Anolis sagrei: one gene and its partner. The protein of the gene in region 2 interacts with the protein of the main gene of each other region in a pairwise test. Links are inferred from orthologs where the notes say so. Each region holds a gene or a part of one and is shown on either strand. Other genes may lie near its edges. The genes, in order: UBL5 and CLK4.

Region 1 (15,342 bases), about 60 Mb from region 2:
TTTGGAAACATCACAGATGCTGATCCTCATATTTTCAAACTGCCAGAAGCCATACACAGACCTACAAATTAACACTTTATCAGGAAACAACACACCAGATGTTGACATGAAATTTCACCAGTCTTCATTTTAGCTATACTAACCAAGGCTGCTGGGAATTTCAACACTAGATAGATACCAGTTGGCTGCTCCTGTTTTAAATACTGAGCAATATATAGTAAAAGGCAGAGACAGAGCCATTTCACATATTATCATCTCAGCCTTTACATTAAACTTTAATGGAAAACGTAATATATAAACATAGGACTTTTTATAAACTCAAGCACATTACACAAATCTGAAAAATGAAGCAGAGATATCAGCAAGCCTACATCTAGAACCCCTTTTCTTCTTTTGTAAGGCCAGCAAACTTTTCCATCAACCCAATATTTCTCAAATGGTGCTCCTCCAGATGTTTTGCACTTTAGCTCCCACAATTCCTAACAGCTAGTAAACTGGCTGGGATTTCTGGGAGTTGAAGTCCAAAACACCTGGAGGAGCACAGTTTGAGAAACACTGCATTAACCTATAGGCATGGTTAGGCAATCCTAATCTGCTATAGAAATCAAACATTTAACACTGCATGTTGTTACTAACAGATTTGTGTAAATGTTTCAAAGAGCCACTAGGTGGCAAAACCTTTACTGTTGCCAATTTTTGTGACCCCAACATTGAATTAAAAGGGTCTCATTTGAGGTCAGGACCCCCAGTTTAAGAAGTAGTGATATAAACTGTGACTTTTAAATAAGATTTTAAGACTAAGCCAGGGCATGTTGTGAAGTGTTTTGTGTATTTTGGTAGGTTTTTAATGGTTTTCACTATATTTAATACTGCTTTGTATAACTCTATTTTTGGCTGTATATGTTTTAGGTTTTGAATTGTCTATTGTATAGTTTTTAGGATTGTTTGTCACATTAAGTTCCTTTTAAGAGAGCAAAGGCAGAATTTCCCACTTTTATGCCTTATTCTGAAAACATTGTATTTTCCAAAAAAAAAAAAATCAAAATTTCATTATACAAAATGTGAAAGCCCCAAATCTGTTACTCTGCTTGTATCTGTGCACATCTAAACACATACACATTATTCAAGAAGAACTTAAAATGTCCACTTTCTATTCAGCTCTTGTTTGCATGATGAAAAAGGGAAGCAAGTTATAGAACTGGGTATTTTAATCAATTTTTGTCTAAAATTCAGTAAAACCTTTCTATGATCTCCAGATACAGTGTGGAATACAAATATTTTAAAAAGAGAATACATAAAGACCCAGTAGAATCAAAAATGTATATAAGTAAACTCTGGTCTATTGGCTAAGAGTATTTTGTGCAAGTCTTTTTGCAAAAGTATAAATAAATCGGAAATGATTTCAAAGCAACTATCCAAATAACATTACTGAATTTAAAGATGATTAATGAGTGCTGTTCCCTTCTCTGTACATATAGTAAAGCTCTTACTTATTGTCAACCACCAGGATTAAGGATACAGTCTGCCAGTGACACATGGTCCTTGAAAATTGTGTACCTATAACATTAAATATATATATAGTTAATTTTAATTTGCTACACAAAGCAAATTAACAATGACAATTATTTCTGTTAAAACATGAAATTAACATAATTACACACACAACAATCTGGGAACAATGGGCTTTACATGGAATTTTCCTTAAAGATGGCTCCAAACATTATCTTGCAGCAGAAGCAACTGGATGTTTGTAAGAGTAACTTCCTGTGATTATTATATATTACAATAAGATATAAGTTGCCATTCTATTTTGGGATGTAATGTAATTTGTGGATATGACTTCTACAGCTTTAAATGACTGAATCAAAAATATGCTAGGAGTGTCTCTTTCTATATGCCCTACAGACTTGAGATATTTAGGTCTATGTTGTTAACTGTCAAAAGTCTCATTATTGGAAATAGGGCAGAATATAAACAAAATAATAATACTCATCACCCCTCTGTTTCCACAACTTCCAGATGGAATGCCCTTGGACTGCATGGGTTCCTCATCTTGCCCATAGGGCTTTACTAGTGTTATTTCCCATCAGAGATTAGAGATAATATTTATTTATTTATTTATTTGATGCACTTATTAACCGCCATTCTCAGCCCATAAGGGCGACTCATGGCGGTGTACAGTACACATAAAAGACAATTACAAAAGCCAGTTCAACAACATCTAAACTAACAACACTTACAGACTACACTAAAAATCCGCTTCGTCTCATAGTGGAATCATAACCCGTCTCATATTCCTTATTCCATTCCAATTCTTCTTTACCGTAATGTTGGCACTTAATTAAATGCCCTCTCGAACAGCCATGTCTTAAGGCTTTTTCGAAAGGACATGAGGGAGGGCGCCTGTCTGATGTGTGCAGGGAGAGTGTTCCACAGCCGGGGGGCCACCACCGAGAAGGCCCTCTCCCTCGTCCCCGCCAGCCGTGCCTGTGAGGCAGGCGGGATCGAGAGAAGGGCCTCCCCAGACGATCTCAAGGTCCTCGTGGGCTCGTAGGCCAAGATGCGGTCCGAAAGGTATTTTGGGCCGGAACCGTTTAGGGCTTTGTAGGCCAAAACCAGCACCTTGAATTAGGTCCGGTAGCAAATCGGCAGCCAGTGGAGCTGGGACAACAGGGGCGTTGTGTGCTCCCTGCCACCCGCTCCAGTTAGTAACATGGCTGCCGCGCGCTGAACCAGCTACTCAAACTTTAAAGACCTTCCATGAAAATGACCTGCACTGTTGTGCTGAGCTTATTCTGCAGTGAATATGCATGGACAGAGCTATGCCTGAGAGGAAAATACATATATATACATATATATATGTATATATGTATGTATGTATATTTGGCCCTGTCCCATTGGTTCAGAGCAACCTACTCTTTCCTTGTTTCCAAGCACTGCTTGTTGCTAGAATGCGTCCTCAGGATCCTTCCTGAATTGGAATCTGGCCTGACTAACCCTGAATGAGGCAGTTCAGAGACCCACCAATAAGAAATAGAGCCTCTTCCCAAAGCTATCTTCCTTCAGAGGAAAGCAAAATTATTTTTGTTCCTTTTCTGATTGAGTTTATCTGGAATTCTGGAGTGACAATATTCTGCCATTGTGAGCTCTTGTTGAGTACAATTTGAAATTATTTAGTTTATAATTTTTATTGTTTTATGATCCTTTTGAATTATCTGAGAACCATTTTGGCTGGGAGGCAATAAATAAATATTTATAATAAAATACAATTGGTCTTCCACATTTGCAGGTCTTGTGTTCACAGCTTCAGTTGTAATCATCCCACATCAAAGTCTACAGACTTGCAGACTTTTGTGGGGAAATGCCAACTGAAACCATTGCTATTCTGCCCCCTGAAGTTACAGGGAGTGGAATAGCAATGATTTCAGTCACCATCAACCCCCAACCAAAGTCTGTAAACCTTTAGTGAAGGGTGGGTGGCAACTGACATTGTCGCTACTCTGCTCTCTGCTTCAAGAGACAGCACAGCAAATTCACTCGCATCCACAAATGCACAATGCTTAACCCGCAAATGTATTGGGATAGCTGTACTTTTGCACAGGAGGGAGAGGGGAGACAGCCTTTATATATTATCCTTGGGTCTCTTGTATTCAGGACACAAATGATGCTCTTGAACTCTGGCTCTCAGAACTAGACTAGGACAGTAATGCCATATACAATTCTGCCTGAAACAAAAGTACCATTCTTTTATTGAAATCTGTCCACATTTCTACTCACCATTTCTTTAGTACAATCTTGTCCCACCGAGTTCCAGTCTGGGCCGCAATTAGCTTTTTCAGGTCCCGGATGGTGTCATCAGAGCTGAGCAATAGTACCAGTTAAGCAAAATGTATCTCAAGTGGAGGCCTCTTTGTGATAAACTCTAAGAGACTAATGTTTTTTTCAGATTATTAAATGGAATACACATTGCGGTCGTGCATAAATCTTCTACCGGCCACCTCTCTCCCTCCCCTCTGTTTTCCTTACTTCCCACACATACATCTTTGGAACCATTATATGTGTTTTCCTAAATCCTGGAGAAAAAAAATATAAATATTTCAATATTTTAACATCCCTACCTAGGGTGGGTAATCTTTAAACATATATAATCAAAACACCTATTTAAAAAAAACACTCCTAAGTAGAGTTTTCTCCATCTTTGAACAAAATTTGTTTACTGCAACACAAAAAAAAGTTATGCTTGTGCAGTATCACATGACCCAAGGCTTCCTGCTTATTTTTTTTGCTTATTTTTTTAAAAAAGCACTACCTTCAGTTTAGAGATTATTAAACACCTGTCTAATGCTCTTTCTCACACACACACTTTCACTCTATACCAATCTTCTCCATTAAGCATGTGCCTTAATCCATTCTTATATCCATTCTGCTTGAGCTGTTGCTTTTTGAACTTTAACTTGCCTGACAACAGGCATTCTAGTCCAAATGTAGACAACGTATTAGAGTGATCCCATACTTGGGAGTAAACCAAGCGAGGGGAATTATAAAGCCTTCCAGATACTGTTGCTCAGAAAATTGCTGGAATAGGAGAAAGCATTATTTCAAAAGGAAGTGACTATTAAGACAATTTCTGAGTCATTTCTTATGTTCACAGTCGCCTACACTTATGTTACACTGTGCTCATATTTCAAGTGAACAGTTCTCATCACAGATATTTCCCTTGTTAAGTATCTGTTTTGTATGTGTCAAGAGTCTTCACAAATAAAACAGAAATTAAATATAAGGCTAGAAAATATAGTCTAGCTCCCCCTAGGTGTTCAAAAATTACATATTTCTGTTTTGGATACTTGCACTTGACTCTCACTTTCTTGCCCAGACGATCATTGCAAACCACTTCAATCATCCCGATCCGGTGTCAATGGTAATCAGTGTACAAGAAACGGCTGAGTTAGGAGACCTCTAGTCTCCTGCCTTTAGGGGTACTGTTGGAAGAAAGAAACAGAGAAAAATGTGATCAGTCACTTCAGATAGAGAAGGGGTTGTTTGCTTTTTCAAAGCACAATCTCAGGAAAAGAGAGTGAGGTCGGAATTCCCAAATTCTGAGTGAATCTAGCTGAGATTTGTACAATAATATCATACTCCCTACCGCACAGAACGTTATGGGTAAGTCCAGACATGCCTGTCTTCCACTTGTAACATCACAGGATTTTCCACCACTTCATCCATTTAATAGTGGATAACTGTACAATGTAATTCAACTGATAATACTATTGGCCCTTCATCTGGGAGCAACTAGGCCACTGAGTGCCCTGGGACAGGATACAAAATTAATTAATTGAGAAGCTCCGCTGCTGTACTCTTCCTTATTTAAACCTTCTCATATTTATATAAACTGTATTACATAACTCTTCCAGAATGGTTTATTAACCCCTATTAACTCCTAAACTATTGTATTGCTCAAAATAAGAAAAAATGGAAGCACTGACATCCAAGAGGTACAATCAATCATGGGAACACTACCATTTTAAGAAGCCATAAAAAGAATAGCAATTTCTATAATGTTATATGTGTTAGCCTGTCATAGCAAAAACAACGACTATAATGGTACCTTAAACACTAAGAAGTTTGGTATAAGGTTGGGGGGGGGGGAGGAGTCCAACCCTCTGTATAAATTTATGTCCAAGCTATGTGTATAAGGCATACACATAGGCCTAGTCTCTAGGTCGCCTGTTCTGCAATTCATTCACTTCCCCGACCCTATGACATGTTGTTTACACTATTCCTTGCTCAGCCCTTATATTTTTCAGCTCCATCTTAGCCATTGGTATTGCTGAACCTCACCCAATGGCACTATGATGTAATTAGTTTATATTTTTAGTGCGTTTTATCGGGATTTTTGCATTTTATGGAGTTTTTATTTTTCTCCATTTTTTATTATGTTGCAGCTAGGTTGCTCTATATTTTCCAATGTGTCTAGTCCTGATGTAAATTGTTTGTACTGTTTTCTTTTATCATTGAATGTTTGTCATGTTTTTTTGAAACCGCCCTGTGTCCCTTTGGGGAGATAAGGCAGTCTATAAATAAATTATTATCATTATTAAATAAACTATATTCTTGCTGTGAGTCTTCTGAATAACTGAAGATGTCAGCCATTGATGCAGAAGAAACGTTAGGAGAGAATGCTGCTGGAACACTGGCCATACAGCCCAAAAACTCACAACAACCCAGTGATTCTGGACATGACAGCCTTCAATACATTGAAATATAATAGAATTCTGTGTTCAGACTCCCATCTCCAAGATATCTCATTGTTCATTCGCTCAATCATTTCCGACTCTTCATGACTTCATGGACCAGTCCACTCCAGAGCCCCCTTTTGGCCATCACCACCCCCAGCTCCTTCAAGGTCAATCCAGTCCCTTCAAGGATTCCATCCATCCCTCTTGCCCTTGGTTGGCCCCTCTTCCTTTTTCCTTCCATTTTCCCCAGTATCATTGTCTCCTCTAAGCTTTCCTGTCTTCTCATGATGTGGCCAAAGTACTTCATCTTGGCTTCTACTCTCCTTCCCTCCAATGAGCAGCCAGGTTTTATTTCTTGAAGTGTGGACTGGATCTTCTTGCTGTCCAAGGCACTCTCGGCACTTTCCTCCAACGCCACATACATATATCTCATTATGTACATGCAAATACTCCAAAATCTGAAGAAATTTTAAAAAATCCAAAACACTTCTGGCACCAAGCATCTTGAGTAAAGGAAACTCAGCCTGTGTTGTGGCTGTTCAACTTCAAGCCATCTTTCAATTTGTCCTGAGGAGAAGCTATTGCGGGGCTTTCTTGGCAAAAATTGGGCTGGATCTACCCTGCCATATAATCCAGTTTCTGAAACCAGGTTATCTGATTTGAAGTGGTTTATATGAGTCTACACTGCCAAATAATCCAGTTTAAAGCAGATAACCTGGATTATATGGCAGGGTAGATGGGACCTGGCCTTGCTCAGAGGCCCAGAGAATGTGAATCGCTCAAAGAATCCATATAGTGTCTATAGCTGAGTGGGGGCTCAAACCTTAGACTCCAGAGGCGTGGTTCGACGCTGGCTCTGAATAATCCACCAATCAGAATCAGAATAATACCAGATGAAAGGAAAGAGTCCCTTCGCACCCGAATTTCAGTTCAGCCTGAAATTCCCCGGAGAAGTAAAAGAAGAGCCACCCACAGAAGCACAGCTAACCTCACTCTGGGGGCTTCGGGAGCTTTCCCGGCCACTGTCCGGGGCCTGGAGGGCTAAAGCAGCCGGCCTTGCTCCTTTCACCTACCCCAAGGAAAGCGGGCCGAAACAGTCACGGAGGAACTCACGCAGAAGCCCGAAGGGGGAAGAAAGCGGAAGCGGAAACGTGCCTCACACGCCCGGAAGCGGAAATCGGAGGAGCCTGGTCGAACGTTCCAAGGAAAGGCGGGAGAAGCTCTCAAATGGAAGGCATACACTCAGCCATGTCGGTGCCCAGCCTCGCCACACTCCCGGACTCGCTCCTGCTCGAGATCCTGGCGTGGCTGCCCCCACGTGACCGAGTGGGCGGAGCCAGGTGAGGGCTCCGGGCGGGGAGGGAGCTCTTCTCCCACCCTTAACTGCCGTGGGATTCTGGGGGATGTAGTTTAGTGAGGCCCGACAGCGCTCTGCTGAAGAGTCAGAAGGCTCCTCCCATTCTATTGGATGTTGCCATGGCAGCTGCGGTGTGATGTGATAGGGCAGTCCGCATCACTCTCCTTCCTGGCGTCCCAAAGGTTTCTCCAAGGCTCAGAAGAGGTTCTGTTAGTCCAGTGGTTCTCAACCTTCCTAAGGCCGCGACCCCGTAATACAGTTCCTCATGTTGTGGTGACCCCCAATCATAAAAATTATTGTTGTTGCTACTTCAGAACTACTATTATGAATTGTAATGTAAATATCTGATATGCAGGATGTATTCTCATTCACTGGACCAAATTGGACAAATACTCAATATGCCTAAATTTGAATACCGGTGGGGTTGGGAAGGGATTGATTTTGATATTTGGAAGTTATAGTTGCTGGGATTTATAGTTTGCCTACAATCAAAGAGCATTCTGAGCTCCATCAACAATGGAATTGAACCAATTTTGGCACACAGACCTCCAATGACCAAAAGAAATATATTGGAAGGGTTTAGTGGGCACTGACCTTGAGTTTGGGAGTTGTAGTTCACATACATCCAGAGAGCACTGTGGACTCAAAAAATGATAGATCTGGGCCAAACTTGGCCCGAATACTCAATATGCCCAAATGTGAACACTAGTGGAGTTTGGGGAAAATAGGCCTTGACATTTGGGAGTTGTTGTTGCTGGGATTTATAGTTCACCTACAATCAAAGAGCATTCTGAACTCCACCAATGATAGAATTGGGCCAAACTTCCCACATAGAACCCCCATGACCAACAGAAAATACTGTGGTTTTTGATGGTCTTTGGGGACCCCTCTGACACCCCCTCATGACCCCCCCAGGGGTCCCGACCCCCAGGTTGAGAAACACTGTGTTAGTCCCTTCCTCAGATATATCGCCTACGGCACTTGGTATTCGTTGGTGGTCTCCCTTCCAGGTGCTAACCAGGGCTGAGCCTGCTTAACTTCCAAGGCCAGACAGAATCTGGCACTTTTAGACTAAATGCCCAGGGTGTATAGCAGCGTTTCTCGACCTGGGGGTGAGGACCCCTGTGGGGGATCACGAGGGAATGGCAAAAGGGTCTCCAAAGACCAGCAGAAAACACAGCGTATGCTAATGGCCAGACTAACTTATAACAGGAGGAATACAAGAGAGTCAGTAATATAGAGGAGTCTTGTCGAAGGCTTTCATGTCCGGAATCACTGGGTTGTTGTAGGTTTTCTCAGGCTATATGGCCATGTTCTAGAGGCATTTTCTCCTGACGTTTCACCTGCATCTATGGCAAGCATCCTCTGAGAATGCTTGCCATAGATGCAGGCGAAACATCAGGAGAAAATGCCTCTAGAACATGGCCATATAGCCCGAAAAAACCTACAACCAACATAGAGGAGCTCCATTAGGAATTTAGGTTTACCGTGAATAAGGATAGATAAATAGGCTTAAAGGCTTCATAGTGTTTCAGTGTTGGAAGTCATGGTGAAGGGTGCACGGGTGTGGGGAAGAGGTTTTATTTTGTGTGGGATAAGGGTTCTGGGATGAGTGTGTGGTTTGCTGTGTGTAAAATGCCATGTGCTGATTTTCTGAATGTAATGGGAAAAAATTGAATAGAAAGCTTTGACTGAAAGTAGTGGATAACATACAGAAATAGCAAGTCTCTGTGTTTTAAGTTAAGTAACTGATAATAATTTGTACTCAATTTCAAAATTAACTGGTTGGTTGATTAAGATAGATAGGCATGTACACGTCAAAAATATTGTTACCTGATTATATCTGTCACGATTCGCTTTTCTGTTATGTGCCATAACCAAAATAAACAGTTAAATAAAACAACATTTTCTATTGGTATTGGGGGGTTTGTGTGGGAAGTTTGGCCCAATTCTATCATTGGTGGGGTTCAGAACGCTCTTTGATTGTAGGTGAACTATAAATCCCAGCAACTCCAACTCCCCAATGTCAAGGTGTATATTCTCCAAACTCCACCTGTGTTCACATTTGGGCATATTGAGTATCCATGCCAAGTTTGCTCAAGATCCATCATTGAGTCCACAGTGCTCTCTGGACATAGGTGAACTATAACTCCAAAACTCAAGGGCAATGCCCACCAAACCCTTCCTTCTGTTGGTTATGGGAGTTTTTTGTGCCAAGTTTGGTTCCGTTCCATCGTTGGTGGAGTTTAGAATGCTTTTTGATTGTAGATCAACTATAAATCCCAGCAATACAACTAACAAATGACAAAATCAACCCCCCCCCCCCAATTCCACTAGTGTTCAAATTAGGGTGTATTGGGTATTTGTGCCAAATTTGCTCCAGTGAATGAAAATACATCATGAATATCAGATATTTACATTATGATTCATAACAGTAGCAAAATTACAGTTCTGAAGTAGCAACTAAAATAGTTTTATGGTTGGGGGTCACCACAACATGAGGAAACTGTATCAAGGGGTTGGGGCATTAGGAAGGTTGAGAACTACTGGTCTATAGTGAGCGATAGGATGCCTGTTCCATCTAGGTATTTGGGACTGCAGGTCCCTCCAGTGGTTGGTCATGGTGCTTGGGGTTTCTGGGAGTTGTTGACAGGCAAAATGAGGCACAGGGGTTCTGCCTCTTTATGGAACATGCATAATGGGGAATCAATTTATATTGTCCTGAAAACAACACCTGCAGAACTTCTTTCTGCACAGCCGTTAAAGGAACAGGAAATAGTCATCTTATTTCAGCTGACAAGGTTCTTGGAAACTAAATTCACTAGAAAGGAGGAAACCATTAAAATGAACAAATTCTGGCTACCAGTATTAACTAAACTCTAAAATCAGGACAGTAAATAAAGAACAACACTCAAAAACTAGGGGAATTCCAGACAAGAAGCAATTAGGGCCAGCTAACACTGCCAAACAAAGGATTCCCCCAGGCAGGAAGCAACCAGGCTTTGAAGCTGCAAGGCCATTAAATGCTAATCAAGGTGGCCAGTTGCAACATTCACACTTTCCTCAAGCAGACAAGAGTTCTTTCTCCCACCCTGTATATTCCACAGATCTATAGATCTCACTTGCCTAGTTTCCAACAGACCTCACAACCTCTAAGGATCCCTGGCATAGATGTGGGTGAAACATCAGGAGATAATGTTTCTGGAACATGGCCAGACAGCCCGGAAAACTCACAGCAACCCAGTGAATTCCATCTGTTTTATATTCATGCATTTGATTGTTGTTTAACTTGTATTGTGTTTTTACCATGTTGGAAGCCGCTTTGGGTCCCCATTGTGGGAGAAAAGCACATATAAATAAGGATTTATTATTATTATTATTATTAGTAGTAGTAGTAGTAGTAGTAGTTGTTGTATAAAGTAGAAAAGAATCTGGTGGCCACTAGATCTTCATTCCTAGTTTAGAGCGCAATATGGACAGCAACATAAAACTAACTCCTTTGTTAAAGATACAGGAGCCTTTGTGACAGGGAAGGGAGATATTCTTGCCTTCTGCTTTGTTCTCCCCCCCCCCCCCCCCCCCCGCCGCTTTGACTATGAAACACCAGGCCTGCTTTGGAGCCTTGTAAGATATCAAGGCAACTCTCTAAGCGCTACTGTGTACCTTCAAAGCAGCATGTTTGCTCCAGCAGTGCAGAAGGGCTGCTCCGAAGGCATGTCTAGAGCAGCTATCAAAGGGAAACAAAAGCTATAAGCTTACAAATGGTTAGTTGGGGACCCTAATGCATCTTGTTGCAGTGTGATGAAGTCCTGGCATTCATTTTTGGGGATGTGGCCCTTTTGATCCAATAAAAATAAGCTGAAACGGTGTTATTTCTATTTGGCTTGCCTAAGGAAATGCAAGTTAAACACTTAAGAATGGCTCAGGTGCAGAAGTTCTTCAAAATCCTGTTGTCCCTATGTTTCCCTCTTCAATGGGTGTCCTGAAATGTAGTTTCAAAGAAGTCCCTGGCCTACATATGTTGAGAGGTGTTCATCAGTGGAGAGAGTTTTTGGACATTGCCAAAATCCATTCGCCCAATATGAAGTTCTAGTTTGTGCAGAGAAGTAACCCCTCATCCAGACTGAATTCTGAAACAATTTATTTTTCTATATAAGTGCTTACTATGTATATGCTGTTGCTCCCTCCTCTCCATGCACACCAACAATGTGGCATTGCTTCACAGTTACCTCCAATTAGTTTCCTCACTACTTCTGCAACAGGATCCTTGACTACAGTTTTCAAAGAAGCAGCTGTGTTAATTTCTTGCAGCATAAAAAGGAAGGAGGGAGTGGGAAACAGCATCACCTTTAAAACAAACTAGTTTTTATTTCAATATCAACTTTTGTGGATGTAAACCCACTTGTTCAGATCCTCTGCATTGAAGCCACCCAGTCACTGCCTTTGGGTGAGAAGTACTAGTTGATAACAACTGATCACATCTTTCTACAGGGTTTGCAAGAGGTGGCGTCGCCTGGTGCGGGACAAGTTTCTGTGGAGGCATTTGGATCTAACTTCTTACAAGGTAACAATGGTCAAACTCCAGCACATTAGTAGGTATTTGTGAGCAAGGATCAGGAATTGCTGGGGTACTTCCTTGGCCATTGGGGTCCCTCAGGACTCTGTGTTGCCCCCCAACATATACATGAAACCGCTGGGAGAGATCATCCAGAATTTTGGAGTGTGATGCCATCTGTACACAGATGAACTGTAATACCATTACTCCTTTCCACCTAAAGCCAAGGAATCCGTTTCTATGCTAAATTAGTCTGTGGCAGCTGTAATGGACTGGATGAGGGCAAACAAATTGAAGCTTCATCCAGACAAGACAGAAGTTGGCCAATCAGTCATAACACCAATCTAGTAATAGAGATTCAGCATGTGTTAGATGGGGTCACACTCCCCCTGAAAACACAGGTTCACAGTTTGGGGGTACTCTAAATTTCAGCTCTGAACCTGGAGGCCCAGGTATTAGCAGTGACCAGGAATGCTTTTGTATAAAGCTAGCGCACCAACTGCACCCATTCATGGAGAAGGTAGATCTGGCCACGGTTGCAAATGTCTTCATTACATCCCAGTTAGACTACTGTAATGCACTCTGCATGGTGCTGCCTTTGAAAAGTGCTCAGAAACTTCAGTTAGTCCAAAGAGCAGCAGCCAGACTGCTGACTGAGACTGGCTACAGGGAGTGGACAATTCTGCTGTTACTACAGCTCCACTGGCTGCCAGCCTATTTCTGGACACAATTCAAAGTGCTGGTTTTGACCTACAAAGCCCTGTACAGCTTCTGTCCAGGTTATTTGAAGGACCATATCTCTCTCTATTAACTTCTCAGATATCTACAATCAACTGGGAAGGCCTTCTCTCTGTCCCACCACCCGATTAAGTGCATTTGGTGGGAACAAGTGAGGGCCTTTTTGGTGGATGCTCCCAGTATGTGGAACTCCCTCCTCCCCCTACCAAAAAACCAGGATTGGCCCTTCCCTGCTTGCATTCTGTGCCAGCAAGCCTTTAAGGTAGAAAGATGGGCATGCTGCTGGGGAGGTTGTGTGTGGGATTCTGGGGTGGGGAATTGTGATTTTTAAATGTAAGTTTAATTTATTATATTTTAACTATAGTTTAACTTTATATCTACAAAGTGCTATTTAATTTTTTTTTTTTTAAATTATTTGCTTTGTTTTAAACTTTGATCAGATTGTGTAGCTGTTAGACAACTTGAGTCTCCATAGGGAAAAAGCCGGGGTAGAAATAAAGTTAATACATTAAAAAATAGCTTTGCACTGTGGTGCAGTTACCTTTTCAGCCTCCAAAAGCCATTGCCAACACACTTTCAGGAAGGGCTAAAACCATATGTTTCTGCATTCATGTCATTTCCGACCTACATCAAATCTTTTAATGGAGTTTTCTTGGCAAAGTCTGCTCATGGGGGGAGGTTGCCCTTGACTTCCTCTCAGGCCAGGTATGACTTGCTCAAGATCCCCCAGTGGGTTTTCATGGCTGAGCAGGGATTTCTCTGTTATTATGTGGGTAAAGACTAAGAGTCTGAAGAATTTTGCAGCCAGTATAACAGCATATCTCCCATGCAGTACGATTTCAGATGCGTTTTGAATTTGGGAGTTATAAACTTTAACAGTTTCATTGTTAGCTGCAGAGCTGGGTGCATGTTGCTCTTTGCCTCCATGTTTCCTTGTTTTGGGTCACAAAGCATGCCACAGCCATCTTTAATTGGCTATTTATTTATTTTTTTTGTCGTGTCAGGAGCAACCGCTCCTGTTGTGAGAGAATTGGCCGTCTGCAAGAACGTTGCCCAGGGGACGCCTGGATGATTTTTGATGTTTTATCATCCTTGTGGGAGGCTTCTGTCATGTCCCCGCACGAGGAGCTGGAGCTAATAGAGGGAACTCACCCACCTCTCCCCGGATTCGAACCTGCGACCTGTCGGGCTTCAGTCCTGCCGGCACAGTGCTTTAACCCACTGGCTATGCCACATTGATTGGCTATGAACCTTCCCTATTAGTTACATCCTCAGGGTTCAGAGCAGATTATAATCTTGTACAGTGGAACTTTCCTTACATGAAAGATTCACAATTTACATTATAAAAAGCCCACCCACATGGTTAGATACTTTTTGACTGCCACGAGGAAGCATCTGAGATATAGATGTACTTATTTGGAGAGGGCAGAATATTCTAACACATGGTCACAATCACCAAACTACAACGTTTATGATTCTTAGGGGCCCATCTACATGGGCACCTAAATTCAGGGCAGATTAGAAGGATTCTGTTAAGGTGTTTTCACCTCACTGCTCTTGAACCATGGCAGCAGTGGGAGCAGAGCTGAGTCCATCCAGTCCAGCCCTGCTGTCCAGTCACTCTTACCTTTTCAGTTGTTTGTCACCATGGCAATGGAAACAGAATTCTGGATTGCATCAGGGCCAATGCGAGGCCCCCTTTTCTGACATCAGCAAAGGCTTTCACATGACTTGGGAAAAAGAGTGGGTGATTCTCCTTTTTTTGGGTCACAAAAGCAGTTTGGGTCCTTTAGCAGTTGGCTATCGCTGGGTGCCTTTGCTGATGTAAACAAAGGCCCCAGCTATAGCCAGGAGTTCTCAGGAGTACTCTCCAGAGCAGCAACAAACAAACAAAGGGTAAGTGCCATCCTGTTTTCTCAATGGAGCACATGGAAAACTCCTACTACCAATAATAATTATTATTTGTTTATTTATTTATTTATATTCCGCCCTCTCCCCCCAAAGGGGGCCCAGGGCGAATGGCAATCTATCTTGTATAAACAACTGAATCAATTTGAATTGGAACCAGCTGAGCTATTCATACTAAGCCCTCCAGAGCTTTCCTGAGTTTACTTAATGCAGGTTAAAATTGGGCTGATTTTACCCAATGTTAAGGGCCAGAAGTCTCTGAACATAGCACCCAAACATCAATAGCTTTACTGTATACCTTTTACTTTAGGCTATAACTCCTCTGTTTCTCCAACCATGCATCTCTATAGAGCTAGCCAACCCATTTCCATTTCTAAATTAACAATCAGTGAAGAAAATAAATTAGGGAGGGGGGAAGTGCTGAATTTTGAATGTTAAACCTAAATACTAGTATGCAGCCCTATCCTGTGCACTTGCATTTTCATAATTGCTGTCAGAGAACCCAATGGTTTCTCTTTCATTAAAAGTTAAGACACAGTACTGACATT
Region 2 (15,483 bases):
GCTCCAATACCTGAATTTCTGAACGAGCTGCTTCTCGATATCTACCAACATTTTTCACTATTTTAATGGCGACATGTACTGCCCTCCTACAGAATAAAATGAAAACATTGTGATACAACTACATCTGCTTTCCAGCGAATTTCATGCATTTTACTGATTGTATATTCACTGGGGTGTGTTATTATTTCCAACTTGCTAAGGTCAGTTTCAAGGCTGAGACCAATGCGGACTTAATGATGTCCCTGATAGAATTACAAACTCCAGCAATATATACCGTAATTTAATTTGCTGATTGCTTATATAGCACACCAGTTTAGAAGAGCCTTTTAAATGTTATGTTCTTCATGTTGTGAAGTAGGTGAAAACTGCTTCTTACTGTGCCCACCTGCATTTAGGAATTTCAGCATTTAAACTGAGAGGTAGACATAAATATTGCTATTTGTTATTACTTGTTGATTTCAGTATTGTACGAAAATAGATATCATAAATAATACCTAACATTAGCTTTTATTTTTAAATAAATTTAACTGGACGCTGAAATCAAAGGGCAGACTTTTTAAGATCCCCCCCCCCCCCCCCCCCGGTTAACATTTTACAATGGAAACTTGATCAAATTCTGGTCATAACTTAAAATGGTGAGAACTTCATTGCAGCAAGTCTCACAGACCACGATCAAACTAGTTGCATCAATCAGCTGCAGAATCTGCAACAGTGAAGGTTAGAAAGAAAGTGGCTTCACTGGATCATATCTGTCATTCTCTTTTTCAGGTTATCTTTATTATAGATTGAGTACCCGGATCTGAAATACTTGGAACCAAAAATGTTTTGGATTTTTTTTTTGCGGCTGGGGAGGGGGGGGGGGAGTCTTGGAATACTTGGATTTGCATATACATACATAATTACATAACGGGACCCAGGTCTACACACCAATTTCATTTATGCTTCATATACACTTCATATATAACTTGGAGATAACTGTGGAGAGATTGCGTACTTACATGTGATGATCAATGCATTCTACTACTTTTCCAAAAGCACCCTCCCCTAAAGTGGCAATAATTTCATCTATAAAAGAAAGAATACATTGCATCTGTTGCTGAACAAGTTGAACAATGGTGTAAGCAATTAAGCATGTCATTATAAAAACGTTAATTTAGTATCTGCCTTTGGATGTGTTATTCCATTGGACAGTTGTCATGAAACAGATAACTAGCTATCTGTCTAGCCTTAAAACTTCATTTACTACTAAAGTATTGAATAACAATTATTTAAGAATACAGAAAAGAACAGAAAAGTAAAACAACACAAAGACAAAATAAAAGACAAAAGAGAGCAATGTAGGTTTTTTAACCCCGCCCCACTCCTCGTCTAACATACTATTCTAAACAGATGTTTTGCTGAAAGGTTTTTTAAAAAAGTGTTGAAAAATATTCTATACATCTTGCTCTTAGTACGTCTCCACTTTGGCAGACCAGATGACCCTCCTCATCATCCTCTACACTCCTGGATCTTTTCCTTCGGTGGCTCTTCTGGAAACGGCACCAAGATCGTCCAGCCAATCAATATATCAGAGTGAATTCAGGGTAGAATACGCAATTCATTCAGCGGGGATATTCAGGAATTCAGTTACGCACCAGGCCACGAACAGTTGGCAGGAGCAATTTCAAATTCAGTCCCCAGAAATTCACAGGGCACAGTTTATGTTACAGAAGAAAAACATGGCAAGGAACAGATTTTCAGATAAATTCTTAAAATTCTTGCAAGACAACAGAAACACAATACAGTTTGTCTCTTAGATACTAGATTACTTGAAGACTGAAATTAAACTTGCAATGCAAATAATTTTGTTATTCGAAACAATGTTGTCATGTGCATGTCTAGTTTTATGAAATTATAATCAGGAATGATCTTCTTTAACTTCAAACAAAATGTTTTAAAATAGCAATTATATATTATTAAAATCAACAATAGACTTTTTGCGCAATTATCTTTTGTTCCTCATTTTGAAAAGCTAGAGTGGCATTATTTAGATTTCTTGGAATACAATTACAATTTAAAATTCCAAATGTATTCATTCAATAGCACCTTAAAAATCTTAAATCTGAATACATACATATATAGGCTGCACCATACTTTTTATTAGGAACCTGGGGTTCTTTCCTTGCTAAGTAGCATAATATAAGCATTTCTATTAGTAAGCAATAGCATCATTTAATAAATGACCAACAGTTGCCACAATTTAAGCTACTCCACAGAGGTATGCTGAAATCAATTCAGACACCATGGTATTTTCATTTAATTAAAGACTTCTAAAGTTCTAGATACATTCCATAATGATGTAACACTAGTTAAAATGACAGAAGCATTTGGTTATTTTTATATTCTCAATGTAATCTGAAATACTAAGTAATCATCTGCGTTTACAAAATACTTGAAAAATTAGTAAAAACTCAATAAATCTGGAATTATATACTTAACTCCATTCACTATATCCCCAAATATCTAAATAGATGCAAATATACATGATCAGGGCAACCCAAGTTCAATTCTTTCTCATGCATTTTACAAGCATTTACATTAACAGAATCTCATATTCTGCGAAGAAATGTAATACCATTATTATATTTTAAATCTATACATACCAAATGCGAGCTGTTGGTGGAGTCATGTTTCTTATGCTTTCTTTTATGACTTTTACTGTGTTGATGAGATGATTTGCTATAATGATGACAGTGACTCTTTTCATAATCTCTATTATAATGTTTCTGGTCATCTGTATCATTAAAGTCATTTCTGTATTCTTCAACATATCTCCTGCTGCGATGGTCTGTCTTATGAGTGGATCTATTGAAAAAATATATATGACTTATTTTTCCAACTTAAAAAAGAGAACATGAAATATTTTCTGTCACCAAAGCAATCCCTACACATATGTCAGGGTATGTACTAGATCTATTTACCCAGTTTGGCACAAGATTTAAAGTGTGATTGTAAGCTATTCACAGGCAACAGTTACAACTCCCCCTAAATCTGTAAATATAGAAGAGTGATCACCAAAACAACCTACACAGACAAAGAGTGCTGCACCAAATCCCAGCTATAATTCAAAGTGCCATTGGGTTCAACCTACTGTACTTTCTGGAAAACTACAAATTAGGAACCACCCCCCCTATTGAAGGCAATAATTGGTTAGCCAAGACAATAGAGGTATAGAGCTTCTGTTCAGAGATGTTACTCCATGACACCTAAAACTACTAAGGGTCTATGGCTCCATAATATCTGCTAATTTAGGGTGCCAGAAAAACCTGTACATATTTGAAAACATGTTTATTCTATGGTTTGGAATGAAACCAACAACATTTTCTCAACTATCTTTTTTTTCCCCTAATAGAGGCAGGTCCTGGAGATCAGCAAAGGAATCCACGGGGAAAAGGCGAAGGAGTCATGTCCCCAAGTATTCAAGTTGATAGTCTTTATTTAATTTTAGAAAACGACCAACACATATTGGCTTGTGTATCTATTACAATAGGTTTTTTCAGGGATTACATAAAAACCAATAAAAGGTTAAAAATAAAAACAAATAGACAATTATAAAATAATATCTACATGATACATTGAAATTGTTTTATATATTGCTTAAAACCTATACACATACCCATATGCAATCTGACAGCAGACATTTCTGGAGCTTAAAATCTCATTCAATTTACTGGATCAAAGAGAGAATCAGACTCAAGCTTATTTTTATGTCAACATTTACATTCTTAAATCATCCTTTAAACAGCATTCCCTCATATTCAAGTCCTTAAGATGAATAAATGACATTAACAACACATGCAATATCACTAGATATAAGTGGATTGATAACTACTCTGGTAAGAGTTGATATGAAAATGATAACTTAAGTGACAAATGTTAATCAATTTAAAATTTAAGTTAAACCTAGTTACAATTAGATCATCATTAAGTTCAAGTAATTTACCTGTCTGCAGTTTTAAGTGATTTATAGTGTTTGTCATGTCTCTCACTGCTGTGGGACTGCCTCCTGCGCTTGTGACTATTGGTACTCTTTTCTTCATCTGAGTTTCTTCCATCATTCCATTCAGAGCAGTGGGATGGCATTGAGTGCGTCATCTATCACATGAAAATATACCAAAATGAAATGAGAATATTATATGACAGACAATGATAAATTTAAAAAGACAGATTATAGCAAAATCACATTCATGTCAATCATGTTAACTTAAAGTGTAATGAATGGGGATTATACTATGAATTGTTATACATATATATGGCATTTATATGCTGCCCTTCTCACCCCAAAAGGGGACTCAGAGCGGCTTGTGCCCCTGTTCAGAAGATTTCACCTCACTTTCTGTCCCTGTGATAATTAATTTTGTGTGGAAACAAGGACTGGTGATTCACTTTTTCTCCATTGTAACTCTTTCAGGAGTGAATCTCCCTTTCTGAAGGTAGATTCTCTTACTTCCTGTTGTCTTGCCCCTGTTCTTAACTATGAATCATTTGTAAGTTGGATGTTTGTAACTTGGGGACTGCCTGTAGACATTAAACTTTAAACCTAGTACTATCTAAAAATGAACAATTAAAACAATTAAGGCAAATTTAAAGTACCCAAAATCCCATACCATATCCCCTGACTTAAGACTTCAAAAATGTTTTTCTTAAAAGCTGGCCTAAACAGAAAAGCCTTCACCTGACACCGGAAGGCCAGCAGGGAAGAGACCATTCTGGCTTGTTGCTGCTCAGCAGCTGCTGAACATGTTTAGTCTGGCTCAATAAAACCCTGACCTGAAAGCCCCTACTAAGAGCAACACTACAATCAGCATAGACAATTTCCTTAAAGGAGCACACTACCACGCCATGGTGAGAAGGCTCAATCAAGAAAGCCATGAACATGACTACTGACAACATGGTGACTTGGAGATGTCTCATTCATAGAATTTGATGGCAGTTAACAAGGCTCTTAAATTGGGCCCCCTGGTGGCACAGCAGGTTAAACTGCCGATCTGCTACCGGGCCCAATTTAAGGTGCTGGTGTTATCCTACAAAGCCCTAAACGGTTCCGGCCCAAAATACCTTTCGGACCGCATCTCGGCCTATGAGCCCACGAGGACCTTGAGATCGTCTGGGGAGGCCCTTCTCTCGATCCCGCCTGCCTCACAGGCACGTCTGGCGGGGACGAGGGAGAGGGCCTTCTCGGTGGTGGCCCCCCGGCTGTGGAACACCCTCCCTGTTGATATCAGACAGGCGCCCTCCCTTATGTCCTTCCGGAAGAGCCTGAAGACATGGCTATTCGAGAAGGCATTTAATTAAGTGCTACAGTAACTGGAAATGACAACTGGAACGGAATATGACTACGAGACGGATTATGATTCTACGATAAGACAAAGCGGATTATTTTAGTGTAATTAGATGTCTGTGTAGTAGTGATATGTTAGTTTTTGTCATGTTGGCTCATTGTAAACTGTCTTTTTTGTATATTGTACACCGCCGCGAGTCGCCTCAGGGCTGAGAGCGGCGGTTAATAAATGCAGCAAATAAATAAATAAATAAATAAACAAACTGCTGAGCTGCTGAATTTGCTGACCAAACGGCAGTTTGAACCCAGGGAGTGGGGGGAACTCTCGCTATTAGGCCCAGCTTCTGCCAACCTAGCAGTTTGAAAGCATGCAAATGTAAGTAGATCAATGGGCACCACTTCCGTGGGAAGGTAAAGGCGCTCCATTCAGTTATGCTGGCCACATGACCTTGGAGACATCTACGGACAACGTTGGCGGCTCTTGGGCTTACAAATGGAGATGAGCACCACCGCCTAGAGTCAGATGTGACTAGACTTAATGTCAGGGGAAACCTTTATCTTTAACAAGGAATGCAAGTCTCCTATATATATTTATTTCCAAGCGTTGTTGTACCCAGTGGAACATCTGAAACCCAGCTAGCTTTGAACTGTGACAGCCAAACAACTAACTCCCACAAACACACTCGAACAAAAGCCCTTCATGTGTATCAGTGCTCTGTGGTTTGTGTAATCATCATTTTTGGCCACATTTCCTGTGTAATTACCTGCACAGCAAAACAGGTTTCTCCAATGCCTGTTTGAAACGGCATTAAATGATCAGTGTGGATGGGTCAGTGTGAACTCTCAAACCACACCATGTATAATAAATACTGCAAGTATTTACATAGTTCTAGCTACATTTTCTGATAGCAGAAGCGTTGTGCTATCGGGTATCATTTAGATGCCACCAAGTAGAACACATGCGCCAGACTCAAGGCCCGCAGCCTAATTTGGTCCATGTCATTTGATTTAATCAACTACCAAGCTTGCAAACTTTTGTATTTTGTCTGTTTTGCTAAAAATGTAATACAAATTTCTGGTTGCTCCTGACACGATAAATAAATAAATAAAAATATTTGAGATGGCCCACCAGATGCTAGACTGTGGGGAGACAAAGCGGGATACAAATGAATAGCATAATAAATGAATAGAATAATATATTCCTCATTATTGGACCTCATGACTACAGCTGATGGGAGTTGTGATGCAGTATCATCTGTAAGGCTGCAGTTTGTTCTGTTCAGTCAGGATGGTGGGGTGTGGATATAGATACAAGGCTTGTGGGCAGGCTGTAAGTTACCTTTGGCCCAGCCTCAGACCCACAAGTGCCGTGGGGTTGGGATTCCCATTATCCCCAGTCCGTATGGTGGAGTGATGGGAGTTGCTGTTCAATACTATCTGGGGACCCAAACTGGGTTGAACCTAAAGAGCACCGACTACTATGTGTTTTTAAGAAGGCCTCCGTCGCGGGCCGAAGGGGAAAGGCCGGGCCTGCTTCCAAGGCGAAGCCCAGGAGGGACGGCGAGGCCTTCCTGTTTCCAGACTTACATTCCTGCCTCGACGCAGGTCTCCGGAAAGGAACCCGGGGCGCCTCCTCCGACCCTCCTCCTCCTCCTCCCTCACTGTGGGCGACTGACGGAGCCCCGAAGCACACCGCCCGCAAAGCAACAAACAAAATGGCCGCTGCCTCGCCTTCTTTAGCCGACGAGGGGATTACGTGATGACGTTACAAGCGCTGCTAACGTCAAATAGTGCACGTAGACTGGCACCTCAAATATAGAGTAACACGACAGAAGGAAGTTTCCTGGTTAGAGCTGAACGCTGTGTGCAGTTACAATTACAGAAAGGGCTCTCATATATTAAATAGAAAAGAAGAACCCGAGGCTCTTATTTTGCTCACTGTCTGTACCCAACTGCATATCTAGCTTGACTTTCTTTCTATACCTTTTCCTATCTCTAGGCTAAGAAGGAGCGTTCTCTGACGCACATGCTCGGTATTGAAGTCACGATGGAAAACAAGCGCCGAGACTCCGCCTACAGCACGCGGCTACCAATCACGGGTGGGAGTGCGGAGAGGACTCGCCGGATTGGCTGGAAGGGTGGCGAAGGCGGGTCTTACAGGTGCCTCTTTCTACAGAGTGAGAAATGCAGAATGCAGAACACTATGGCCCATTGCTATAGGACAAGAAAATCCAACAAATGGTCCGTTCAGCAAAGGACAAGAGGGATCCTCTCGCTTCTGCAGGAGTCTACTGTATACCATGCAGCTGTGGACAAGTCTACATAGGGACCACCAAAACGCAGCATTGCCCAAACACACATCAAGGAACATGAAAGGCACTGCAGACTGATTCAACCTGAGAAGTCGGCCATAGCAGAGCACCTGATGAACCAGCCTGGACACAGCATATTATTTGAGAACGCAGAAATGCTGGACTACTCTCACAACCACCATGTCAGGCTACACAGAGAAGCCATTGAAATCCACAAGCATGTGGACAATTTCAACAGAAAGGAAGAGACCATGAAAATGAACAAAATCTGGCTACCAGTATTAAAAAACTCTAAAATTACAACAGCACAACAACAGAGAGGAAACAAACAAGGACATCTAATTACCTCTCAACAAAAGATTGCTCCACGCACTGCCAGGCAATCAAATGCTAATGAAGGTGGTCAGTTGAAACATTCACACCTAGCTCCAGAAGACAAGAGTCCTTTGCCCCTCCCTGGTCATTCCACAGATATATAAACCCATTGTCCTAGTACCAACAGACCTCACTACTTCTGAGGATGCTTGCCATAGATGCAGGCGAAACGTCAGGAGAAAATGCCTTTAGAACATGGTCATATAGCCTGAAAAAACCTACAACAACCCAGAAAGATGTGATTGCGAACATAGGCAGGGTCTGAACTGGAGTTTGGTGGAAATGATTAATAGAGTTGGGTGTCATCTACTTGCAGGTGGCACCCAACTCCAAAACTCTGGATGACCTCACCCAATGTTCTCTTCAAGGTTGTCAGAAATATATATATGGGTGGCTGTGAGTTTTCCAGGCTGTATGGCCATGTTCCAGAAGCATTCTCTCCTGAAGTTTCACCCACATCTATGGCAGGCATCCTTACAACCTCTGAGGATGCCTGCCATAGATGTGGGTGAAACGTCAGGAGAGAATGCTTTTGGAGCATGGCCATACAGCCCAGAAAACTCACAGCAACCCAATAATTCTGGCCATGAAAGCCTTCGACAACATATTATAGTATTATTTATGTATTTATATATTTATTTACTTTATTTTTATACCACCTTTCTCTCCATAAGGACTCAAGGTGGTCAGCAATAACATGACACAACAGAATAGGATGTAAAACAGAAGGCAATTACAATATCTACAGAAAGTAAAAACAATTAAATATTTGTGTCATGAATACAAAAGTTAAAATACAATTATAATTACATTTGAAAGCTAAACATCCCCCCCCCCCCCACAAATCTCACCCACAACATCCGCAACGTTATTATTGTATTATATGGCATGTTGTTGTTTATTCAATCAGTCGCTTCCGACTCTTCGTGACCTTATGGACCAGCACACACCAGAGCTCCCTGTCGGCCGTCACCACCCCCAGCTCCTTCAAGGTCAAGCCAGTCACTTCAAGAAGACCATCCATCCCTCTATTTGCCAGTTATCAATCAGTATTGTTGCCATAATCTTGGGGTTTTTTATGCTTAACTGCAACCCAGCTTTTGCACTTTCTTCTTTTACCTTGGTTAGAAGGCTCCTCAGCTCCTCTTCGCTTTCGGTCATCAAGGTGGTATCATCTGCATATCTAAGGTTGTTAATTTTTCTTCCAGAAATTTTAACTCCAGCCTTGTTTTTGTGAACCATCTTGGAAGTGTGGCTGGTGGGGACGAGAGACAGGGCCTTCTCAGTGGTGGCCCCTCAGCTGTGGAACTTCCTTCTGAGCTATATTACATCAGCCCCCTCCCTCCAAGCCTTCAGGCTTTTGAAAACCAATGCAGTGTAATAACTCTAAAGTGGAATAATGTACAATTTAACTGCAGAATGACCTTAGACTCTGATCCATGGATTATTCTGTTTAATTTGTATTAATTTTAATCCAGTTTATTTTAAGTCAGTATTGTATGTTTTAAGGCACAATGTTAGCACCACTCTGAGTCCCCTTCAGGGTAGAGAAAGGTGGGATATAAATAAGGTAAATAAATAAATAGTGTGCTTTCAAGTATTTGCAAACTTTCCTCTGAGGCTGAGAGTATGTGATTTCCCCAAGGGCACCCTTTGGCTTTCATATCCAAGCAGGGATTTGAATCCTGGCCTCCAGAGTCCTGGTTCAACACTCTGGCCCCCTCCACACCGCTAAATAAAATCCCACATCTGCTTTGAACTGGAATAGATGGCAGTGTGGACTGACATAACCCAGAACAAAGCAGATATTGTGGGATTTTGGGATTTTGAGTTATATGGCTGGGTGGAAGGGCCCTCAAACTGTAAGACCGCATTGCCCTTCTGCCTCACTATAGTATTTGAAACATGTGTTAATTATCTTCCTTTGTGGCCAGCAGATGGCAGTAGTGCTACAGCCATAGGTTGCTTCATTCCACATACCTTTGAAGGAGACAGGTCTGCCCTTTCCCCAATCAGGAAGGAGCTGCAGAGGTGTTGGCCAAAATATTCTGAATGCATCAATATAATTCTTTAAAGGATAATGTCTTAACAAAGTAGCAATAACGGTGTGTATCCTTCTTTCCAGATGTAAAGAATGCACATCGTGGTCCTTCTATTAAAAATGGTAGATTAATTTTCGAAAGCAGTTTGGGAAGAGGAGACAAGAGGAGGTACTTTGGCAAAGCAAAATAGCTGGGCAACAGCATGAAAAACACACAAAATGCACCAGATGTTCTGGCTGGTGAAAGGGAATGAACTCTGCTTTGGGATCAGAGGCAGGCAGGAGTCTTCTTTAGATTTGCTGAATCCAGACCTGCTCTTTGCCCCAAAAGGGAATTGATTTTGACCCTACAGATATGCCAGCCTGACGTATTTAGTCCACCATTGCCTTCTGCAGAAAAGAGTTTTGAAACTGTAGACATTTGCTTGAATAAACACAGCTTGGCAAAAACACCCCTTTGGCCCTGGCTGCTGTAAATCAGAAGAGCTTCAGAGGTTGGTAGGGCATATTGCTCTCTTGTTCAGCCACACTTTGGCATTTATTGTAAACATTTGTATTACCTAAACTTAGAGCTTTCCAAACTGTGTGTTGCGACATGTCAGTGTATTGGCTGCAGTGTGTAGGTGTGTCACATGAAAATAATAAGAAATACCAGAAATCTTGGAAATGTATGTTATTATCTTACAAATAATATTTTTTAAAAATAAATAAATAAAGGTTTTCATGATCTCATACATACATGTATCCGCATAGTAAAGGTAAAGGTAAAGGTAGTCCCCTGACATTAAGTCCAGTCATGTCTGACTCTGGGGTGTGGTGCTCATCTCCATTTCTAAGCCGAAGAGCCAGCGTTGTCCGTAGACACTTCCAAGGTCATGTGGCTGGCATGGCTGCATGTAGCACTGTTACCTTCCCGCCGGAGCGGTACCTATTGATCTACTCACATTTGCATGTTTTCGAACTGCTAGGTTGGCAGAAGCTAGAGCTGACAGCGGAAGCTCACGCCACTCCCCGGAATCGAACCTGTGACCTTTCGATCAACAAGCTCAGCAGCTCAGTGCTTTAACCCACTGCGCCACCGGGGGCTCCTTGTATCCGCATACATTTAGTTATTTACAATTAATGTACGTGTCCGTATCTTTTACAAGGGGTTAGTTTGACCTCTAATTTGCTAGTAAAATTGAATATGTCATGAAAAGATGCATGTCTAAAAAGTGTGTTACCAACATCAAATGTTTTGAAAGCTCTGCCTAACCACTTGAGAGCAGAAGGAAAACAACATACAGTTATAGTACTTTAATGCCAGATAGTTACCATCAGCTCCTCTGAAATTCTAAACTATATTTCCTAAGATTCTATCAGATATGAATATATAAGTATCTGAGAAGAAGTCACAGAGAGGAGGAAGCAAGCTTGTTTTCTGCTTCCCTGGAGACTAGGATGCGGAACAATGGCTTCAAACTACAAGAAAGGAGAGTCCATTTGAACATTAGGAAGAACTTTCTGACTGTGAGAGCTGTTCAGCAGTGGAACTCTCTGCCCCAGAGTGTAGTGGAGGCTCTTTCTTTGGAGGCTTTTAAACAGAGGCTGGATGGCTATCTGTTGGGGGTGCTTTGAATGCGATTTTCCTGCTTCTTGGCAGGGGGTTCAACTGGATGTCCCACAAGGTCTCTTTCAACTCTATGATTCTATGACCATGACAGTTAGCGATATCAGACTTGTGTCATATGGACATACCAAAAGGCAATGATAAAGCACAATGAAAATTACTCAGAAGCTGCAGTGCTGTATTTATAAGGATGAAAAACCCTTAACTTTACAGTTAACTCTGTTGTACTGTATAAAGCTGGGGTCCTTAAACTTTTTAATAAGAGGGCCAAGTCACAGTCCCTCAAACTGTTGGAGGGCCAGATTAAAATTTGGAAAAAACATGAATGAATTCCTATGCACACTGCACATATCTTATTTGTAGTTCAAAAACCACTTACAAACAAGACAATAATTAAAATGAAGAACAATTTTAACAAATATAAACTTATTAATATTTCAATGGGAAGTGTGGGCCTGCTTTTGGCTGATGAGATAGGATTGTTGTTGTTGTTGTTGTGTGCTTTCAAGTCGTTTCAGACATAGGTTGACCCTGAGCAAGGGCTGGGTAAATGACCTTGGAGGGCTGCATCCGGCCCCCGGGCCTTAGTTTGAGGACCCCTGGTATAAAGGGATATGGGTAGGACAGTAGTTTGGTTGCTGAACTAAGGTGGCAAAAGCAATATCTGGCAGGTTTCTTGTCTGTTCAGTAAAAGCAATATCTGGCAGGTTTCTTCTCTGTTCAGCTGATGAAGTCCTTTCAGTTGCTGGGTTTGGAAACCAAAAGTGGAGCATGATATAGCTATTAATAAACTGAGCTGAACAGTTAGGTCTACTTAAGTGGAAGTGGTGTAAGGCCAGGCCTTCGTTGCTATGGGCCACCTGCTACAATGGTAGACAGCAGACGAACAGTGGCACAGCTGCCAGGCTTTACAACCATCACAGCTGAAAGACAGACAGCCGCAGAAAGGCAGAATTCATTTAAGCCAAAGCCTTGCCTCCCCTTCTGATGTGTAGACATATCCCAGGACTGTAGTACAGATTGATATCAATTCACAAGAAGAATAAGTGTGTGTACATATTGGAGGAAAAATCAATGTCTGGATTAACCACATATCAATATTTTTAATTTTACACTCACATTACAAAATGTAGAAACCATAGACAGTTCAGGCAAACTGTTAAAACACAGTATAAATTAGGCTTGTCATATAAATTCTGTACATAGGTAAAGTAGCTTGTACAACTGACAAAAGGGTTTTATAACAATTTTACAACCATAGTATAAAAAGGCCTGGGGATGAGAAAATGCTAGAAACATGAACAAATCATGGGATGTGTTCATCCTAAACAGCTATCACCTACGCATGACCATGCTGTTTTACAGTATTAATGAAAAGTAGGGCAAGCATATCACCATTACAATTTTGTAAAGATATGTACAATCACAAAAGGATAACACCCCCCCCCCCCTCCAAGTACCATACCATTTGTCCACCATAGTGGTCACAGTATTAGTAAAAGAAGAAGAAGAAGAACTTGAAATAGCAAACCTGCACATCAATGATATATGGATTCCAGATTGACCAGCAAATGCAAGTGACAATATGAGGAGATGTATCCTTCGAAATACCAATGTACTTGGGTGGCATTGTTACACATGGTTTGTACTTAAAACATATTCCGGAAACAGTTATAGTATCATTTTATTTACTTCAAGTGCCTTTTGTTCTTGTTTTCTAACAACCCAAGGCATCAATACACACCTCCCACTTTTAAGCAAAGTTTTTAGAGTTAATGTAATTTATAAATAATTTGAATCCAGACATAAACCTTGTTAGTCAAGCAACCTTGTTAGTCAGTTTTATGGCCTGGCAGTTTACTATTAAGGAAAAAGAAAAGAAAGAAGAATTGTATAGAATGTGCCCAAGATTTTAGGCCAGGCATGGGCAAACTTTAGCCCTCCATGTGTTTTGGACTTCAACTCCCACAATTCCTAACAGTCCAAAACAACTGGAGGGCTGAAACTTGCCCAAGCCTGTTTTAGCCCATATACCCAAAATAACCCTTTAAATTAGTCTCATTAAAAAATCTTGACTGTATCATTCTAATATTAACCAACAGTTTATACCATCAGAAAAATCCATAATTTTGTTCCCATTTTGACTATACCACCTCAAGTGGTACAACATTTCACTTATTTAATTTAGGCCCCACCTTTCTTTCAACACAGGATTCAAGGTTAATCCAAGGATTCAGTATGCAAGCGATGTCAGTGTTTCCTTATCCCACCATTTCACAAATATACATAAATAGTTTAAAGATCAGGTGAAGGCTGTAGTCCTACCAGGGAGAAGCCCGACTGAAGAGATATGGCTCTAAATCCAATGTAACATTGGTGAGTGAACAGAATATATGAGTGTTGACCAATTGAGGTTTTTTTTCAGCTGCACAAGTAGCAGCATACCCTTTCCTACTAATTATTGGTTGTACATATTTTCAGTGAACTATGATGTTAAAATGCAGCAAATGATATTAGATGTTCACAAGCAATTTTTAAGCAGTACTTCTATTCCTGTTACTTTGTTGCCAGTAGATGAGTTGCTAGAGGCACAGTTGGAAGAATCATAGTGAAGATCCGAAGGGCTGCAGATGTGATCTGAAGCTACTTCTGCATGCATTTATACAAGATTGGTGCTACTCTGCATGTTACTTTGGGAGGATTTGCTACCACGGAAGCAGTATTTGGGGAGACACAAAGGACAGCAGTGTGAGAAAGGGATCTCCCAAAAACCTGCTGTGTGCAAGCAGAACACTGCACACAGTCCTTTGGAGATCCAGAACTGAAACCTTCTGGGGTGTATTTTGGTCTGAGCTTTTCTCATATGGTAAAGACCAGTTCAGATCTTACGTTGTTCATGCGTGATAACTCTTGCAAATGATTCCTCTAACTGTTCATAAAAATATAATGTACTTTGTGCATGCTACATGATTTTTCCTTGTATCTGTAAAGCAATTTGGTTTGCAGGACAGCAGGTTCTGCTTCACATGCTGACAGCTAAGATTTCAAAGATACCATTTACTCATGAGAACAGTCCCTTGTCTAGAAAAATGTAACATATGTATTAGGTCTTTTCTTCAAAAGTTACAGCTTAATAAATATTTTCCAATTTAGAATAGACATATATTGCTCTTTCTACACAACCAGTCATGTACACTGTAGCTATTCTCTATCATTCATCATACACCTGAGTCCTAACCACAGTGATCTGGAATGTTACTCAGTTTAGACGATATAATCCTGCAAATCTCTTAGGAAGACAGATGGACAAACACTAGTGTTTTGGAAGAAGCTGAGACCACCAGCACTGAAGCAAGGATCCTTTGCCATCAACTTCGCTGGACTGGCCATGTTCTCCGAATGCCCGATCACTGTCTCCCCCAAAGCAATTACTGTATTCTCAGTTTAAGAATGGAGAACAAAATGCCAGTGTACAGCAAAAGATATTTAAAGATGGGCTTAATACTAACTTTAAAAAAAAAGTGAAATACAGAAAGAACTGGGAAGCCCTGGCCTTTGAGCATGTTAACTGGAGGTCACCTGCTACCAACAATGCTATGGATTTTGAACAGACAGGAATAGAAAGCAAAAAGGAGAAATGTGCCAATGCCAAGAGAAAGGCGCATCAAGCAAATCCTTGTTGGGACCGCCTTCCATCTGGAAATTTATGTCTACATTGTGAAAGACCATGCAGATCTTGAATAGGTCTCCACAGATACTTATGAATCCATTGCCAAGACTCTGCCCTTGAAGGACAATCATGCTCAGCCACAAATGGTAAGCTATG

What was found.
Region 1: the proteins of CLK4 (region 2) and UBL5 interact in a two-hybrid assay, tested with the Homo sapiens proteins (2 studies listed by BioGRID and IntAct). The link is inferred for Anolis sagrei from reciprocal best matches to the Homo sapiens genes CLK4 and UBL5.

Annotation. Positions count from the first base shown.
Region 1 is NC_090022.1:147,590,291-147,605,632, reverse strand, and holds the start of UBL5 (ubiquitin-like protein 5), read right to left. Parts: upstream 7,464-15,342; 5' UTR 7,392-7,463; exon of another isoform or gene 7,225-7,391; intron 7,151-7,224; exon of another isoform or gene 7,060-7,150; intron 4,980-7,059; 5' UTR 4,901-4,979; coding exon 4,845-4,900; intron 3,862-4,844; coding exon 3,778-3,861; intron 1,558-3,777; coding exon 1,520-1,557; intron 1-1,519. Other genes in the region: FBXL12 (F-box/LRR-repeat protein 12), read left to right, coding at 7,464-7,576, 12,085-12,157. UniProt on the Homo sapiens protein: Ubiquitin-like protein that plays a role in cell proliferation and sister chromatid cohesion by associating with spliceosomal proteins. Participates thereby in pre-mRNA splicing by maintaining spliceosome integrity.
Region 2 is NC_090022.1:87,942,736-87,958,218, reverse strand, and holds the start of CLK4 (dual specificity protein kinase CLK4), read right to left. Parts: upstream 7,065-15,483; 5' UTR 6,908-7,064; intron 4,135-6,907; coding exon 3,983-4,134; intron 2,845-3,982; coding exon 2,643-2,844; intron 1,530-2,642; coding exon 1,439-1,529; intron 1,066-1,438; coding exon 999-1,065; intron 87-998; coding exon 1-86. UniProt on the Homo sapiens protein: Dual specificity kinase acting on both serine/threonine and tyrosine-containing substrates.